Linked DNA regions of Tamandua tetradactyla. The protein of the gene in region 1 purifies or fractionates together with the protein of each later gene. This does not show direct contact. Links are inferred from orthologs where the notes say so. Each region holds a gene or a part of one and is shown on either strand. Other genes may lie near its edges.

Evidence for each region.
Region 2: the proteins of CPSF2 (region 1) and CSTF2 purify together in Homo sapiens (affinity purification with western blotting; 3 studies listed by BioGRID and IntAct, with this or other methods). This does not show direct contact. The link is inferred for Tamandua tetradactyla from reciprocal best matches to the Homo sapiens genes CPSF2 and CSTF2.

Annotation. Positions count from the first base shown.
Region 1 is NC_135338.1:52,975,280-52,983,299, reverse strand, and holds the start of CPSF2 (cleavage and polyadenylation specificity factor subunit 2), read right to left. Parts: upstream 3,280-8,020; 5' UTR 3,105-3,279; intron 2,508-3,104; exon of another isoform or gene 1,251-2,507; intron 1,239-1,250; exon of another isoform or gene 1,123-1,238; intron 949-1,122; 5' UTR 918-948; coding exon 769-917; intron 1-768. UniProt on the Homo sapiens protein: Component of the cleavage and polyadenylation specificity factor (CPSF) complex that play a key role in pre-mRNA 3'-end formation, recognizing the AAUAAA signal sequence and interacting with poly(A) polymerase and other factors to bring about cleavage and poly(A) addition.
Region 2 is NC_135353.1:72,974,755-72,982,633, forward strand, and holds the start of CSTF2 (cleavage stimulation factor subunit 2), read right to left. Parts: upstream 3,261-7,879; 5' UTR 3,191-3,260; coding exon 3,133-3,190; intron 2,133-3,132; coding exon 2,054-2,132; intron 1,711-2,053; coding exon 1,541-1,710; intron 838-1,540; coding exon 701-837; intron 1-700. UniProt on the Homo sapiens protein: One of the multiple factors required for polyadenylation and 3'-end cleavage of mammalian pre-mRNAs. This subunit is directly involved in the binding to pre-mRNAs.

The sequences.
Region 1 (8,020 bases):
TACAAACATGGTAACTATAACTTGCACCTAACATTAAAGTGCATAGACACTTTAAAAAAATGAAAAATAAATAAGTTGATTTTGAATGGCTATTTCATATAACCATTAGTTCAAGTACTTAGCTTAGAATTTCAGGAACTGTTAAAGAGATGATGTTTAATCTGTCCAGTATTTATTACAGATTTTGGCCTTAGCTTTTTAGGACAGTAACTGACCACATATTCATTATAATAAAATCTCAATTATACAGAGAATGCATTTTGCTTCAAGTTCTAAGCTTTTAAAAATGTTTAAGTCCTCTTTCCTTCTGTAATTAACATAATAATGGGAACATAAATGAAATTTTATTTGATGAATTAGGATCCTTTTGCATCTCACAAGGCATTCTGACCACCAATTCTAGCATCAAAAGATATAGAAAATAGGTTAAATGTGATCTGACTGCAGAATTTTCACATGGAAAGCTTTTCCTCTCCTCAAACTCTTGCTCTTATCTAAAATTAGCACGCAGAATTTTTACTGAGTGATCCATCAGCCAAATAACAATTATCTTAAGATTCTGCTGAATTTCAATAAACACACTTAGTAAGTCACACAAAACTTTGGAAATTAAAATGTTCACTTCAACATAAGAAAATTAAGTCCTTTATTATAAATAAAATAAATCATAGTAGAAAAGCAAACATCGTAACTTCAAATTAGTACTGCAGTATAGATAAGAGAAGTTAATTTAAAAGTCCAGAAATATGAACAGTAAAAGTAACTTACTTCCTCAGGGAATCTATAATATCCATAGAAAAGTGTTCATCCCAACCACAGTCCAGTAAAAATCTAAATTCATCAACTTGGAGAAGATAGCAAAGAGCTGATTCTTCTTGGACCCCAGAGAGGGTAGTTAATTTGATAATAGATGTCATTTTTTGTCCACTAGCAACAATCTAAAAGGTTCTTTTAAAAGAAAAAGAAACTAAAATTAAGCATAAGAATGCAACTGAATATATATAATAGACAGTGAACAAAAATTAGATCAGGTTTTTAAGTGCACAAAAATCCCATCAACATAGAAAACAAACATTTTAAAGTCCAATTGCCATCATTGCTAACTTTAAAATGCAAACATACCTTTGTTGATATGTTCTTTTTTGGCTCCTGGTGTGGTTTAGTGTAAATTAAGTGGACTTGGGAATCAGAGATACAGAGTTGAATTTACTCTGTTGTGGTTTAAGACAAGTTAATTAACCTTTTCTCACCTATATATTTGGTCTAAAAACCAGATAAGTAATGCATACGTAAAAGTAATGTTGGAAGCTTTGATATAATGTATGAAGAGCTAGAACAGAGACTAGATCATTTAAGCTAGACTCTAGATTCTAAAATCAATGCTTTAGATTTTAGAGCTCTATGCTGTCACTCCTAAGTGCAGGTTGGCACCATTCTATTTTAACACACGGCTTACACTTGATTTTAACAGTATCAGTACCCATTTAGTCTCCCAGACTAAAATTCTGGAATTGCTCTCCTATCATCAATTTGGTCATCACTAGTTGAATACTTGTTGACATTTCAGAAATGTTTTACATCCTTACTGTCCTACCTCAATCAAGACACTCATTACCTTACCTGAATGATTTTAATTTCCTCATCTAGTTTTCATGTTCCAAGTTGATCCTCGATAACAGCAGTCAGAAAGACCATCCTAAGAATCAAATATTCTCATGCCCCCACTTTGCACAAAATAACCAATGGCTTTCCTGTTGACTACTGAATGAAATGTAAACCCCTTAGTGGGAAATCAAGCCCCTTCACAAGTTTATCTCAATCTATCCTTTGCTTCACCTACAATCCCTGCCCTGTGTGCTTAAGCACATTTATTTTCTCACTCTCCCTATGTACACCAAAACTTCTCAAGTCTGCATCTGTGTATTTGTCACCTCTTCATGACCGCCTCTTGAGCTTAGCAAATTTCTTTTGACCTTTCATGACCCAGTTCAAATATTAACTCCTTTTAAAACTTTTTTCAGTGTCCCCAAAGCTAGTTATTTTTGCCTCGCACAAAGTGGGCACATACACACAGAAAACTGTTGACTAGAAATTGACAATATAAAAGCACGTATTATAGTTAATCTTTGTATGCCATTTCAAGACCAAACACAGTGCTCAAATTCCTTCAGGGCAGTGATTTTGACCAACACTACTTCATTTCAAATATTTGTCACAGTTACTGGCTCTCTCAGCAATGATCATGCTTGTTGATGACAAAGTAAAGAAAACTAGGCAAAATCTAGGTAAAAACGGAGTCTGGGAAAGCACTGGAACTAACTAGGTGCCAAAGTCTATTACTGACTAGTTTCAGGGGAGCAGAGGTTTCATAACAGAGCCAAAGGGGTTGTAAAATAAAAGCATTATAGAGTACGGGCAAGTGATAACTCGGGTTCGCCCGGTCACAGGCCAGACCTGCCAAGGTTTACATCCAGTCAGACCTCCGGTTTTCTGCAGAGCATATAAAATAGCATAAAGTCAAAGAGAATGAGATCTGGTGAAACTGCAGTGATGGTGGAAGGGCTTGGGGGCTAGGGAGACAGGACGCGGGGGCGGGGGGAGGAGAAAGACTTTTTTAACAAAGCGTGATAACATCCTAAAGGTCTTTGGAGTCAATTAACTACAAAGACGCCTACTTTGTGCCCAGTGCTTAGTAGATTCGCGGTCTTTCAACCGGTGTCGACGGGCGACTTCGGGCGAGGAGGCTAAAAGGGACATGGAGAAAAACGCAGCCAAGAGACGTAGGAACTAAAGCTGGAGTCAGATTAACTCCTCCAGTGCCAACAGAATGAAAGGGGAGAGGAATACAGCAAGGAGGAAAGGAGCATGGGAGTGAACCGTACAGATTGCCAAAAGAGCCAAGAATTTTAGACCCATGAAGAAGACGTTTTTCTTTCCCTCGCTGAGCATTTCGGCCAGGAACGACCAAGACCGGCACAACGAAACCCCAGAGCTTGTCCCCAGGAGAGGAGGCTGTGTCTGTGTTGGAGCCAGGCTCTTCCTGAACTCCTAGGAAGCCCCCTCCCCCATCCAGGGGCTCACTCTTTTCTTCCGCCCCCACTTGCCTCATCAGTCCTCCCCCAACGCCGTCCACTGCCCTTCCCAACCCCTCGTCGAGTCCCGGTTCAAGAGCGAGGAAAATTGACGTTCACTCAGCAGTACCCGCGACGATCGGCAGGCAGAAGACCCGCAGTGGAGGCCGCCATTTTGAAACTACAGGCGACCCGCCAAGGCGGAGAAGACCCAGGGTGATACCATCTTCTGGGGACAAGGAACACGAAGCTGAGGGAAGGAGATGGCATTTCCACGCACAAGTCTCCTCACCTTGGACTGACGTTTTATTTTAAAAACATTTATGTCGTTTTCGAGCTAAAACAAGAACGAGAAGATTCACATATTAAAAGAAAGACGTACGACTTCCCGGCGTCACCCCTCTCTTCCTGACGAGTCCCGAGGCCGCAGCTTCCGTCGGCGCCGGTGGCTGAGCTCACAGCTGTCCTTGGTCGTGGGGTCGTGGTTGGCTCCGCGGCGGCTGGTGAGTTCTGGGGTTCAGGGCGCTGAGGCCCGCCGGGTCAAGTTGTGCAGGCGGGTGTGGAGGTGGGGTACGGGGTTCATCTCTATAAAAGCCCTCGGCGGTGATGGATCTGGTGATAGATCGCCCCGGGGCTGAAGCGGCCGAACTTCCAGAGGCCTTCGAGCGTGGGAGCCGGGAAAGAGGAGAGGGAACTAGCGTTTTCTTCTGGTGGACTACTGGGTTCACCTTTCCCTCCTGGAACTGTCAGGAAAAGGTATCTGAGGCTGCCATAATTGCAAAAAGTCTTTCGAGATACCCGGTGACTGCCCCTCACCGGACTGGGAGGAAACCGAGACTCAGGAAGGGATGCATGGGGCTGCTTATCCGCGAGCATTTCAGATTCGTCCAAGATTCAGCATTCCGTGTCCTCATTAGTTAGGATTGGAAGCTAACTTCATTCTTCTAAATCTCAAGCCCTCCTGCGCCGACCGTTCCGCAAGATATGTACTCTTTTGCTTAAAAACAAGACAAAACAATACAATATTTTATTTGTGCATGGTTTTTAGGATGTGTATACCTCAAGGAGTTTGATCCTTCGTGCATCCAGCATTGTTTCTTTATAGGTTAAATCGGCATTTTTGGGACAGTGCATATAAAGAGCCATGGAGACCAATTAGAAAGAATTTTTTTAAGTATTTAAATATAATTATATCTTTCAAACGTGAACTCGGAGTGACTTACAAAAATAATAGCAGATATAAAGAATCGTTTTAGGACCTAACTGGAATAAATTGGGTTGAAGAATAAGTAATATTAGGGGAAAAAATATAAAGCCAATAGTGAGGTTAATATAAATGTTTACTATGGACTTACTATGAGAGGCAGTAAAGCACAAGAAAATTGCTCGGACCAGAGAGCCAGACTGCCTGGTTACTAATGCTATCTCTTCCGTTTACCATATCTTTGAAACTGGACAAATGACTTTATCATAATTATCCCTGGATTTCCGCATCTGAAAAAAAAAATGCATTGGGGATGTTATATTGGTTAACACATACATAGTGTTGTGAGGATTAAATTAATGGATGTTTATGAAAAGCAATAGGGTGCTGGATAAGAGGGTGCTATAAAAAACTCAGCTGTTGTTAGAGGACAGCAGAAACATTTCCGATCTTGATCAGTTAACATGATTCCTAGAGTCCATAAGGTAAAAACCTGTTCTCCCATTTCTGAAGTGAAAGCACAATCTTTCTTGAGGGTCCTCATGTAAAGAAGACATTAATGTATTGTACATTGGCCTTAATAGCATCTTTAAGGATAAATAAAAGGAGTTACATAGGCCTGTGTCTGACGTTATATCTTAATGTAGATATGTGACAGAATGGCAGGTTGCAAATTAGTAAAAGTGCATGTACATCTCTCTTGTGGACACCCATGTCTAGAGCAACTGGTCTTTACTCCTTCCTTAAGTGCCTCCTGCACACTCTTCTTTCATCCAAAACTTAGGCTCATTTGACTGAAGCCTGACCCTAGTCCTCACTGCCCTTTCTTATCAGATAAAACTCACCTATGTTTTGGGGCCAATGACTTATCCCCAAGAGCCTGAGAGCCCTTCTATCCTTCTGTCCATTCTCGGAAATCATTCTACCGCACTTCTTATATCCATAAATCTTTGTCCTCCCAGGTCACCCACTGTCAGTAAAAATACAGTGTAAGTTGTACCACTGCTTCCAAAGTCCACTAAATGATGGATTGTACAATGATAGTGTGAAATGCCTGTGGGACTAAGAGTTGTCATTTATTTCTTAGGGGTGGAATTATGCTTCTTGGTGTTGGTTGAGACCAGGTTTGGATTCTGATTCTACCTTTGCTTTTTATAAGAGCCTATATGCAGAAGTGTCTCTAATCTCTTCTGTTCAGGGTAGGGTTAGACAAAACCAACTCCTTAGCGCTGGCCTTGTTGGAAGAATGCCAACGCTAATGGCTCATAGCCCACAGGTGGCCATGGGATTATTTGAAACAGTCTTGGGCTTGGGGTCAGCAAGTATGTTTTTGTGGTTGGTTGTCAGCCAGACATAAGGTGGAACAGACATCTCCTAAGAAAGTTGAAGAGCCTGATACAGATGAAACAGAATAGATGGCTACTCAGCCTCTGTAAAGGCCTATACTATTTTTTAGTAATTTGCAGTTTATCACTTTCAAAGTTACTTTATATTACTTGATTAAGGTGGTACATGTTATCCCCATATTTGACTGTCTCAGAATTCATAAAGCATGTAAGTGTCTGAGACAGTAAGCAATTGGTAGGCACTTGGTCAGTAGTCACAAAAAGTACTTAAAGATCTAAATGTAAATAATGCTACTTAACAAAGGCACAAAGCTGAAAGAACCACCATCTTGTGGGAAATAAGATAGCATAGATATTGTCGAAGAACTATTTGCTTCAGTCATCCAGGAAATAATTAGAAATACACTTCGTATAATATATAGTGATTGTGTGACTTTTAACTTCATGGCCTGGTATATAAAGAGTGTTTGATTGAAGTTTAAGAAACGAAAGAATTAAAATTATTTAGAGGGCGGGCCACGGTAGCTCAGCAGGCAAGAATGCTTGCCTGCCATGCCAGAGGACCCGGGTTTGATTCCCAGTGCCTGCCCATGTAAAAAAAAAAAAAATTATTTAAAAACCACTCTTTTAGAAGAGAGAGGCAGGAATTTCAGCTATATTCCCCAGCACACTGAGTCCTAACCATTTTTTTGTTTGTTTTTGCTCAATCAAGTCTTTTTTATTGCAACTTATCTTAGTATATTCACACATGCAAAATTCAAGGTAGTATAATAGAAGGAATATTGTTAAAATGGAATGGAAATACATCTGTCCCAAATTTCCAGATTCTAAAGATTGTGGTAAAACTAGTGTTCTAGTTTGCTAGCTGCTGGAATGCAATATACCAGAAACAATGGCTTTTAAAAAGGGGAATTTAATAAGTTGCTAGTTTACAATTCTAAGGCCGAGAAAATGTCCCAATTAAAACAAGTCTATAGAAATGTCCAATCAAGGGCATCCAGGGAAAGATACCTTGGTTCAAGAAGGCCAGTGAAGTTCAGGGTTTCTCTCTCAAGTGAGACAGCACATGGCGAACACAGTCAGGGCTTCTCTCTTGGCTGAAAGGGCACATGGCGAATGCAGCATCATCTGCTAGCTTTGTCTCCTGGCTTCCTGTTTCATGAACCTCCCCGGGAGGTGTTGTCCTTCTTCATCTCGAAGGGTCGCTGGCTGGTGGACTCTGCTTGGTGGTGCTGCAGCATTCTCTGCTCTCTCTGAATTTCTCTGAATCTGTTTCTCCAAAATGTTTCCTCTTTTATAGGACTTCAGAAACTAATCAAGACCCACTCAAATGGGTGGAGACATGTCATCCCTTAATCCAGTTTAACAACCATTCTTGACTAAATCACATCAACCAGGGAGATGATCTCATTACAGTTTCAAACATACAGTATTGAATAGAGATTATTCTACCTTTATGAAATGGGATTTATATTAAAACATGGCTTTTCTTAAGGGGCATATATCCTTTCAAACCAGCACAACTAGGCTGTGTGTCCTTTCCATTTTTAAGTACCTTACTACACAACGGTTACTTGACCCTATATGGGAATGTGTTTTCAATTCAAGAGATAGTAATAAAGAGCCTACCTAATATATAAAGCAGAGATTCCAAATTCTAAATTAAGGTAATTGCATTGACACATTAGAGTTAATAAAATTTAGATTATATCTACACAGATTTGATGATATAAATATCTATACTGCAAAAATATTGGCATACGTGGAAAAATTTCCTCTTTACTGACTGAATAAGTAGGGCTCACTACTGAATCTTTTTTTTTCTTTTAACTTTTTTATTGTAAATATAACATATGTACAAAACAAAGAAATAAAAAAGCAACAGTTTTCAAAGCACACTTCAGCAAGTGGTTACAGGACAGATCCCAGAGTTTTTCATGGGCTACCGTATGATCATATTTTTCCTTCTAGCTGCTCCAGAATATAGAAGGCTTAAATATTTTTTTATCATCACAATCGACTTTTTTCCTTTTTTCCTGTGAAAAATAACATATACAAAAAAGTTATAAATTTCAAAGCACAGCACCACAATTAGTTGTAGAATATATTTCAGATTTTGACATGGGTTACAGTTCCACAATTTTAGGTTTTTACTTCTAGCTGTCATAAAATACTGGAGACTAAAAGAAATATCAATTTAATGATTCAGCATTCATATTCATTTGTTAAATCCCATCTTCTCTATAACTCCACCATCACCGTTGATCTTTCCATATCTCTCTTTAGGGGTGCTTGGACTATGGCAATTCTAAATATTTGGTATTGAAAGGGTCTGTCACTAAAGCGGAGTAGGGAGATGGAACTATCTGATGTTCTGGAGAGGCTGGTCTAAATTTCAG
Region 2 (7,879 bases), on another chromosome or scaffold:
GGATAACCTCTTGACTATGCTTGGAATCTCTCAGCCATTGACACTTTATTTTGTCTCATTTCTCTCTTCCCCCTTTTGGTCTAGGAGGTTTTCTCAATCCCCTGATGCTGAGTCCCAGCTCATTCTAGGATTTCTGTCCCATTTTGCCAGGAAGGTTTACACCCCTGGGAGTCATGTCCCATGTAGAGAGAGGGAGGGCAGTAAGCTTGCTTGTCGTGTTGGCTGAGAGAGAGAGGCCACATCTGAGCAACGGAAGAGGTTCTCTTGGGGGTGACTCTTAGGCCTAATTTTAAGTAGGCTTAGCCTATCCTTTGCGGGGTTAAATTTCATACGAACAAACCCCAAGATTGGGGGCTCAGCCTATTGCTTTGGTTGTCCTCACTGCTTGTGAGAATATTAAGAATTCTCCACTTGGGGAAGTTGAATTTTCCCCCTTTCTCACCATTCCCCCAAGGGGACTTGGCAAATACTTCTTTATTCACTGTTCAAATCACTCTGGGCTTTATCGGGGCATCACTCTGGACAAACCTACAAAATGTCATGCCCTACTCAAGGTTCCATGTACTTACGGTGTTCAATTAAGCTCTTCTCATAAGTTATATTCTTTTAAGATGTGGGAATCATTTCCACTAAGTTTATTAATTACTCCTTAAAAATCTGAGAGGATCTGATTTATTCATAACCTATTGCCTCCTCCCACCTTCATTTGTTTCATCAGCTCAAACATCTGTTCTGGTGGAAGACTGGCAACTGCTTTGCTAATGGACTCAGGAGCATCTTCAGGACTGATGGTCTCTCCATAAGGTGACTCAATGACAGGAGCACCAGTGCCAAGGCCTGATGAGGAAGAAAGTACAAGGAGAAAGTTAAAGAGACAAAATAAAGGGCTAAATCATTTCAAATATCTACATTCCAGGGCTGCTGTAAGGACTATTCAATAACTTTAACATTCTCTAGAGCTGAGAAATAGTTAATTTGCAAGTCTCTTATTTCTATGGAGAAAGTGACAAAGTGTATTTTCTGCTCTCAGAGGAAAGCTGAGAACAGGATCACAAAGACAGACAATGTTAACCTAGGTTAGGAACCTAGGCATATCAACTTCTTTTGACAGAACATTTCAGAGGCAAAAGGTTTAAACAGAAAAAGATGCTCATTTCAAAATGGAATTTCTGCATCTATCACTTCATGAAAAAAGCCATAAAAATGCCTTAGTACCCCATCAATTACAGATTTGGCAACATGGTAATAAGGAGTAGCAAGCACTAACAACATGGTTAGCACTACTGATGGCTTAGTGTGCCTGAATTAAATTCATCTTCAACTGGAAATCAACTCCTTGGCAACTGAAGGACTTCCAAAGTCAACTTTAGCTTGTTTCTCAAAGATACACACATCCCTAATTTAGGTATCTCAGATTGATCAAGTAAAGAAACTGTGTGGCTAACCATTTCAGCATATTCTAGAATATACCATAAACAGAAAAATCTTCATTGTAATATCTTATAAACTCATCCTGCATACAACTTGGGTTTATACTCACTCTTTAGCTCTTCCTTGTTCTTCTCACTAGCAGCATTGTCCACTCGAAGTGCTCTTCCACTGAACTCACGTCCATTCAGGTTCCGCATCGCACTAAGGGCTGTCTCCTGGTCTTGGTATTCACAGAAGCCATAACCCTTTGGTTTTCCTGTTTCCCTATCATATACCAACCTAGAGAGCAGAACCAAGTATTGAACACACATGTTATGTACACATACAGGGTTCTTGCTAACATTTTCATGTTCTAATTTGGCTCACTAAAGGATAAAATTTAATAATTCTGACTTTGCTTCACTGAAATCTTTTTTAACTTTCTTTTTAAATTAAAAAATACACATATCTTTTAGGAAAGCATGCATCAAATTACATGGTATATTAATTATATCAATAAAGCTGTTAACAGAAAAAATACACATGAAAAGTCACCAGTAAAACAACTTGCCATTTTTTCTAAGGGTGAAATTTGTGGCAATTTTTAAGAACCTTCCCACCAAGAAATAAAAGGGGCCCTCACCTGAAACTAACAACAGGTCCAACCTCAGAAAAGATGTCCTTTAACTGCTCTTCAGTGGCTTCATAAGGAATGTTTCCCACTAAGAAAGAAAGATTAAAATTCTATCTTTGTAACCATGATAGTTAGTGAGAAAGTAAACACTATAAAGAATCTACTTCAATGAATACAGTGTTCCCCAAATTCCAGTACCACGTACTCTTGACAAGGTAAAAAAAATCGCTAAGGACACTAAATACAAAAGGTGTAGGTACTCCTAAGTATTAGTTCTAACTGATCTGACAAGTTTTAAAATTTCCTTAACTTTGGTGAAAATACTTAGCATAAGTGTTTACCTGAAGGTCTGCAATCTGATCCCCCACCCAATAGCTACTAAAAATATCAATATTATATTTTTTCAAACAGGCTCAACTGTTCGTATTTCCACATTCATAAACACACGGGAGAATGACCAAAAATGTTTAAACATTATTCTGAACTGTTTCGCCACTCTTTCAAAAGGTGCTTTAAAATCACCACTCATAACTTTGAAGAAAGACTTATTTCGGCCGAAAAAATTTCTCAGAATACATTCGATCCTCTTTGAGCTCTTACTCGTTCATTCATTCATTTATAGTCCGCCTCAAGACGCCAGGTGGCCGCTACCACCATCGATGAACTAAAATGTTATCGTTAGAAGCGGAGGATGAAAGCCCTTATGAGAAGGCGGGAAGTGGACATAGGGATACCACTCAGCATGTAATGTGTATTCTGGGATAGGGGATGAGAAGTAGTATTGGACAATGAGACTGTCGCTATGCATCCTCGCTTCTAGATAAATAATTTAAGTTCATTAAAGGAGAAACGCACAGAAGCTCAACGCTCATCTAACAACATCGCAGAAAGGTTGCGGGACCTCGGGGAAAGAGGAGCATCTCTGCCCACGAGTCCACCAGGTTTGCCGTCCCACAGGGACAGGTGGAGCTCTATGACCGACCCATCACCGGCTCTTGCGGCGATTCATGAGGTGCTGGGGGTGTTCCTCGCCGCCCTCTGCCACTTTCTGCACCTCCCCGATGCCTGGCTCCAATGAATTCCCTCACCAAACACAGAACGTAGCGAACGGTCCACCGCAGGATCTCGTACAGTCAAACCCGCCATGGCTCTCTTCCGGCGGCTTCCGGTGCGCTGCAGCACACTTCCGTACGGCGCGTGAACTCAGAGTTGACTATGCTTCCGTACGGCGCAAGAACCGGAAGCGCCTAGGCCGGATGCAGGCAAGATCCCTTCCCTGTGCGACGTTTCGTCGCCGTAGGAGCGTGTTAAGCCTACAAGAGCAAAACTCCCTCCGCGAAGACTGTCGCCTAGTAATAACTCCCTTCTGAGCCGGATCCAGGCTAATTTGAAGGCTTTTAGTTCGTAGAAGTTCCTGTTATTATTAATTTTCTCCTTCGCTGACGCAAGTAATCTTTGCCCGCAATAAAAATGGCGTCAGCGGCTTTACCACGGTGTCAGGGAAGTCCTTTGCCAATACCAGGGAAATTTCATTTTAGTTCCGCCTGATTGAGAGAAGGAAATGTTTGCTCCCGCCTCAGCGGCAGGCACACTGTGATTTTGCTGAAGCTGTATCTGCAGTGAGGTGAGGAGAGATAGTTTTGTCCGGCAAGAAAATGAGAATCAAGGGCATTCACCGTCAGGGCACCAGGATAGATCAGGAGATGGGAAGGTGAAGTGAGAACAGTCTGCGCTCTCGTAGCTCCACGTGCTTGATGGGGGGTGGGGGCAGGCGAAGGACTTTGGCAGTAGAGTTTTGGAAACAGAACGGAAAACATCACTGGCTGATCTCTGGTTCCCGAAAACTCCTGAAATATGGCTTGCAGGACTAGTCGTTGCCACCCCACAGGAAGACAAAACCTGTCTGGGTCGGAGGAAATCCACAGGAGGGTAACTGAAGAGAATGGAGTTAGGAGAGAAAAAAAGGAAGGAGTCAAGATTGCTTTGATGAATTTTCTGTCTCAGAAAAGGAAGGGAGAGCTGGTAAAATATCTACAGAATTTGAGACATATGCTTTTAAAATTAATAACATATATTAGGAGTGTTTGTGTATGTGTGTAGGTCCTTGCTTGAAGGAAGAGAAATAGTTGGAAAAGTGCGCCTTCACACCATTTACCGCGTCGTTTCAAGTAGCGATTCTGATAAATTTAGAAAGTTTTGGAAGAGTTCTCCCACTTCCATAACTTTGGGTCCCATTTTCAATTTTGTGTGACCAAGAGAACACCTTTGTAATAGAATAATCCAAAACTAGGTTTACAGCTCTGTAAAAGACAGATTTAAAGAGCCTTGGAGTGAGTCAATTTTCCTAGTGTGCTAAAGTTTTGAAAAATGCATTTATGGCAGAATATATTTCTAATCTAGTGTTTCCCAAACATCCATGAAAAAGATTTACCTGGGGTGCTTTACTAAGAATAGAGATTCCTAGGGCTCCACCCCAAACCTGTGGAATAAGATTACAGGGAGGAACCTTATTTTAAAACAAGTACCCCGGGTGATTCTTAGGGTCAGACAATTTGTGCAACATTGTATATTGAGGTACTACTTTTATGGCAACATTTATGACAGTTGTGCTTTGTTATAAAATTTTCTGCAGTAGTAGACCCAGAACCATCCCTTGTTGGGGAGGGTATTTGGAAATGTATGGGAATGTTTTTAGTTATTGCCGTTAGTGGGGGGACGCTTTTTTGGAGGGAGAAAGCAGCCAGAGGTCATAAATATATTGCAATATCCAGAGCAGTTCTATACAGTGAATCCCTCTCTCCACTAAATGCTAATAACGTTTCTCCGCTTGAGAAACAGTGCAATTTTAGTACCCTTGTTAGTATCAGCAATATGAGACTAAATGGCCTCTGGATTGCCAGTCTTGCATAGATAACTTACATTTTAGTCTTCTCACGGCTCTGTGACTGATCCCAATGAATCCGTAGTAAAAAAATGAACATTTATTGAGCATTTGCTATGTCTCTATTGTATTGGTTTTCTATTGTTGTGTTACAAAGTACCACAAATTTAGCTGCTTAAAATAACGCTCATTTGTTAGCTCATAGTTTTGTATGTTAGAAGTCCGTTTAGGCTTGACTGGGTTCGCTGTTTAGGGTCTCAGAAGGTTGAAGTCAAAATGTAAGGCTCTCCCCAATCCTGGGGTTTGTTCATATGAAACTTAACCACGCAAAGGATAGGCTAAGCCTACTTAAAATTAAACCTAAGAGTCACCCCCAAGAGAACCTCTTTTGTTGCTCAGTTGTGGCCTCTTTCAGCCAACACCACAAGCAAGCTCACTGCCCCCCTCCTCTCTAGGTGGAACATGACTCCCAGGGGTGTAAACCTTCCTGGTAACGTGGGACGGAAATCCTAGAATGAGCTGGAACTCAGCATCAAGGGATTGAGAAAATCTTCTTGACCAAAAGGGAGAAGAGTGAAATGAGACAAAATAAAGCATCAACAGCTGAGAGATTACAAACAGAGTCGAGATATTATCCTGGAGGTTATTCTTATGCATTAAATAGATATCACCTTTTTAGTTAAGGTGTAACAGAGAGGCTGGAGAAAACTGCCTGAAAATGTAGAGCTGTGTTCCAATAGCCATGTTTCTTGAAGATGATTGTACAGTGATATAGCTTTTGCAATGTGACTGTGTGATTGTGAAAACCTTGTGTCTGATGCTTCTTTTATCTACCTTATCAACAGATGAGTAAAACATACGGAATAAAGATGAATAATAGGGGGAACAAATGTTAAAATATATTTAGATTGAAATGCTAGTGATCAATGAAAGGAAGGGGTAAGGGGTAAGATATGTATGAATTTCTTTGTTTTCTTTTTATTTCTTTTTCTGAAGTGATGCAAATGTTCTGAGAAATGATCATAATGATGAATATACAACTATGTGATGAAAAACAGAATGTTCATATTGTATGTTGATTGGTTTTATTAATAAAACCACAGCAACAACAAAACAAAACAAAACAAAAAAAGATGTAGGGCTCTTATTTGAACTCTCAGGAAGAATCAGCTTCCAAGCTCTTTGTTGTTCACAGAATTCAAATCTTTGTAGTTGTAGGACTGAGGTCCTTGTTTCCATGCTGCCTCAGCTAGCTCCTAGAGCCTGTTTTTGGTCTTTGTATGTGAGCGTCTGCATTTCAGAGCTAGCAATGGCTGTCAAATCCTTTTAGTACTTTGAATCTGACTTCTATGGCCAGTCAGAGAAAACTCTGCTTTGAAAGGGCTTTTGATAGGATCAGGCTCACCTTGATAATCTCCCTGTATTGAGGTCAGCTGTGCTATGTAACATAACCTAACCAGGAAAGTAAAATCTTCGTATTTGCAGTCATAGTAATTTTATAGAGCATTTACACCAGCGAGCCAGGAATTCTGGGGGACCATCTTGGAATTCTGCCTATCACAGCATTTTATTGATAGACTATTTATAATTATAGAAGATTAAGCAACTTGCAATAGGTCCCACAATAAGTAGCTAAGGCATGATTTGAACTCAAGTTGCTCTGGCTCCAGAGACTGAATGTTTAACTGCTGTATCTATTGCCTCCCAGCATGACAATATGGATAGTTTAACATATTACTGTTTTGGGGAAAGAGATTAGAGCATATGACCTGGTGATGGTGGGTTGGTGGCTCACAATAAAGACCCATCCAAGGAAAGGTCAAGACACTTGAGCAGGGTTTGTTCTGCTATTATCAGCCATCTGTGAAGAATGGACTATTGGTTCTTTCTCTTCAGTAACCAACCCCATTCTTTTAGTTATAGAAGAGGTGGTGTGTGCAAAGGATATATTGCAGGCTTTTGCTTTTTTAATTTTTCGTTCACTTACAGGCCTTGTGCTCATGACCTCAGTGCCTGTCTATGAGAGTTTTCTCCCTTCATCAAGATGCTCCCTGAGTGACAGCATTTCTTTTGCCTCCAGGTTATAGAAAAATGAAAACTGAAGGTAGTACACTGGATGTGATTGTAAGTATTATGACTGAGCCTCAGTACAACAGTACAAGTGCAGTATAAAGAGGTACAGGGAAACTAAGAAAGATACATTTCTACATAAATGGGACTAAATATATAGAATGGATGTTATTTGGGGGCTTTGAGCAGAAGAGAATGGGTACTTAGTGGAGAATGAAAGGATTTGGGAAACCATAGACAAGATTTGTGTGGCATTGGAATAAAGTTTTGAGGAAAAGTCCTGAATTCTTACTCAGTCTTGGTATTGATAATCTTGGATAAAGAAACAAGCAAAGACTTCAAAATTTTGAGGGTACAGAGACTCAGGTTCTTTCTTCTGGGTAGAGGAGATTGTGGAGGGCCAGGAGCAATCATTCAGGCCCGAGCAGGAAAAGTCCTCAAAGATCTGGGATGGAATGTCCCCAAGAATTAAACAATGACCAATGTTAGGAAACTGAGGGCACGGGATGTATTTTGGCAACAGCTAATGGCATTTTTCTGCTTCTGTGATTACACTTCCTTGCCAGCAACTGCAAACCACAACATGACTTTAGCCTTTATAAGCACACCTTGAAAACCTCTGGGCGGCTGCTCTCTGAATCTTCTTTCTTGGCGGTTTCTGAGGCAGTCGCCGGCCGGCTAATAAAGACTCCCAATTGGCTTGGAGTTTTGAATTGTGTGGTTTCTCTTTCGGTGTGCCCCACGACAGAGATCAAACATCTAAGACTATTACTTCATGTTTGACCCATGTTTAAAGCTCCTCAAAAAGTCATAGAATGAAATTCCTCATTCATCCTTCAGGGAATATTAGGAGAGACAGCAATTCCTGGATAGGCATCTGTGCC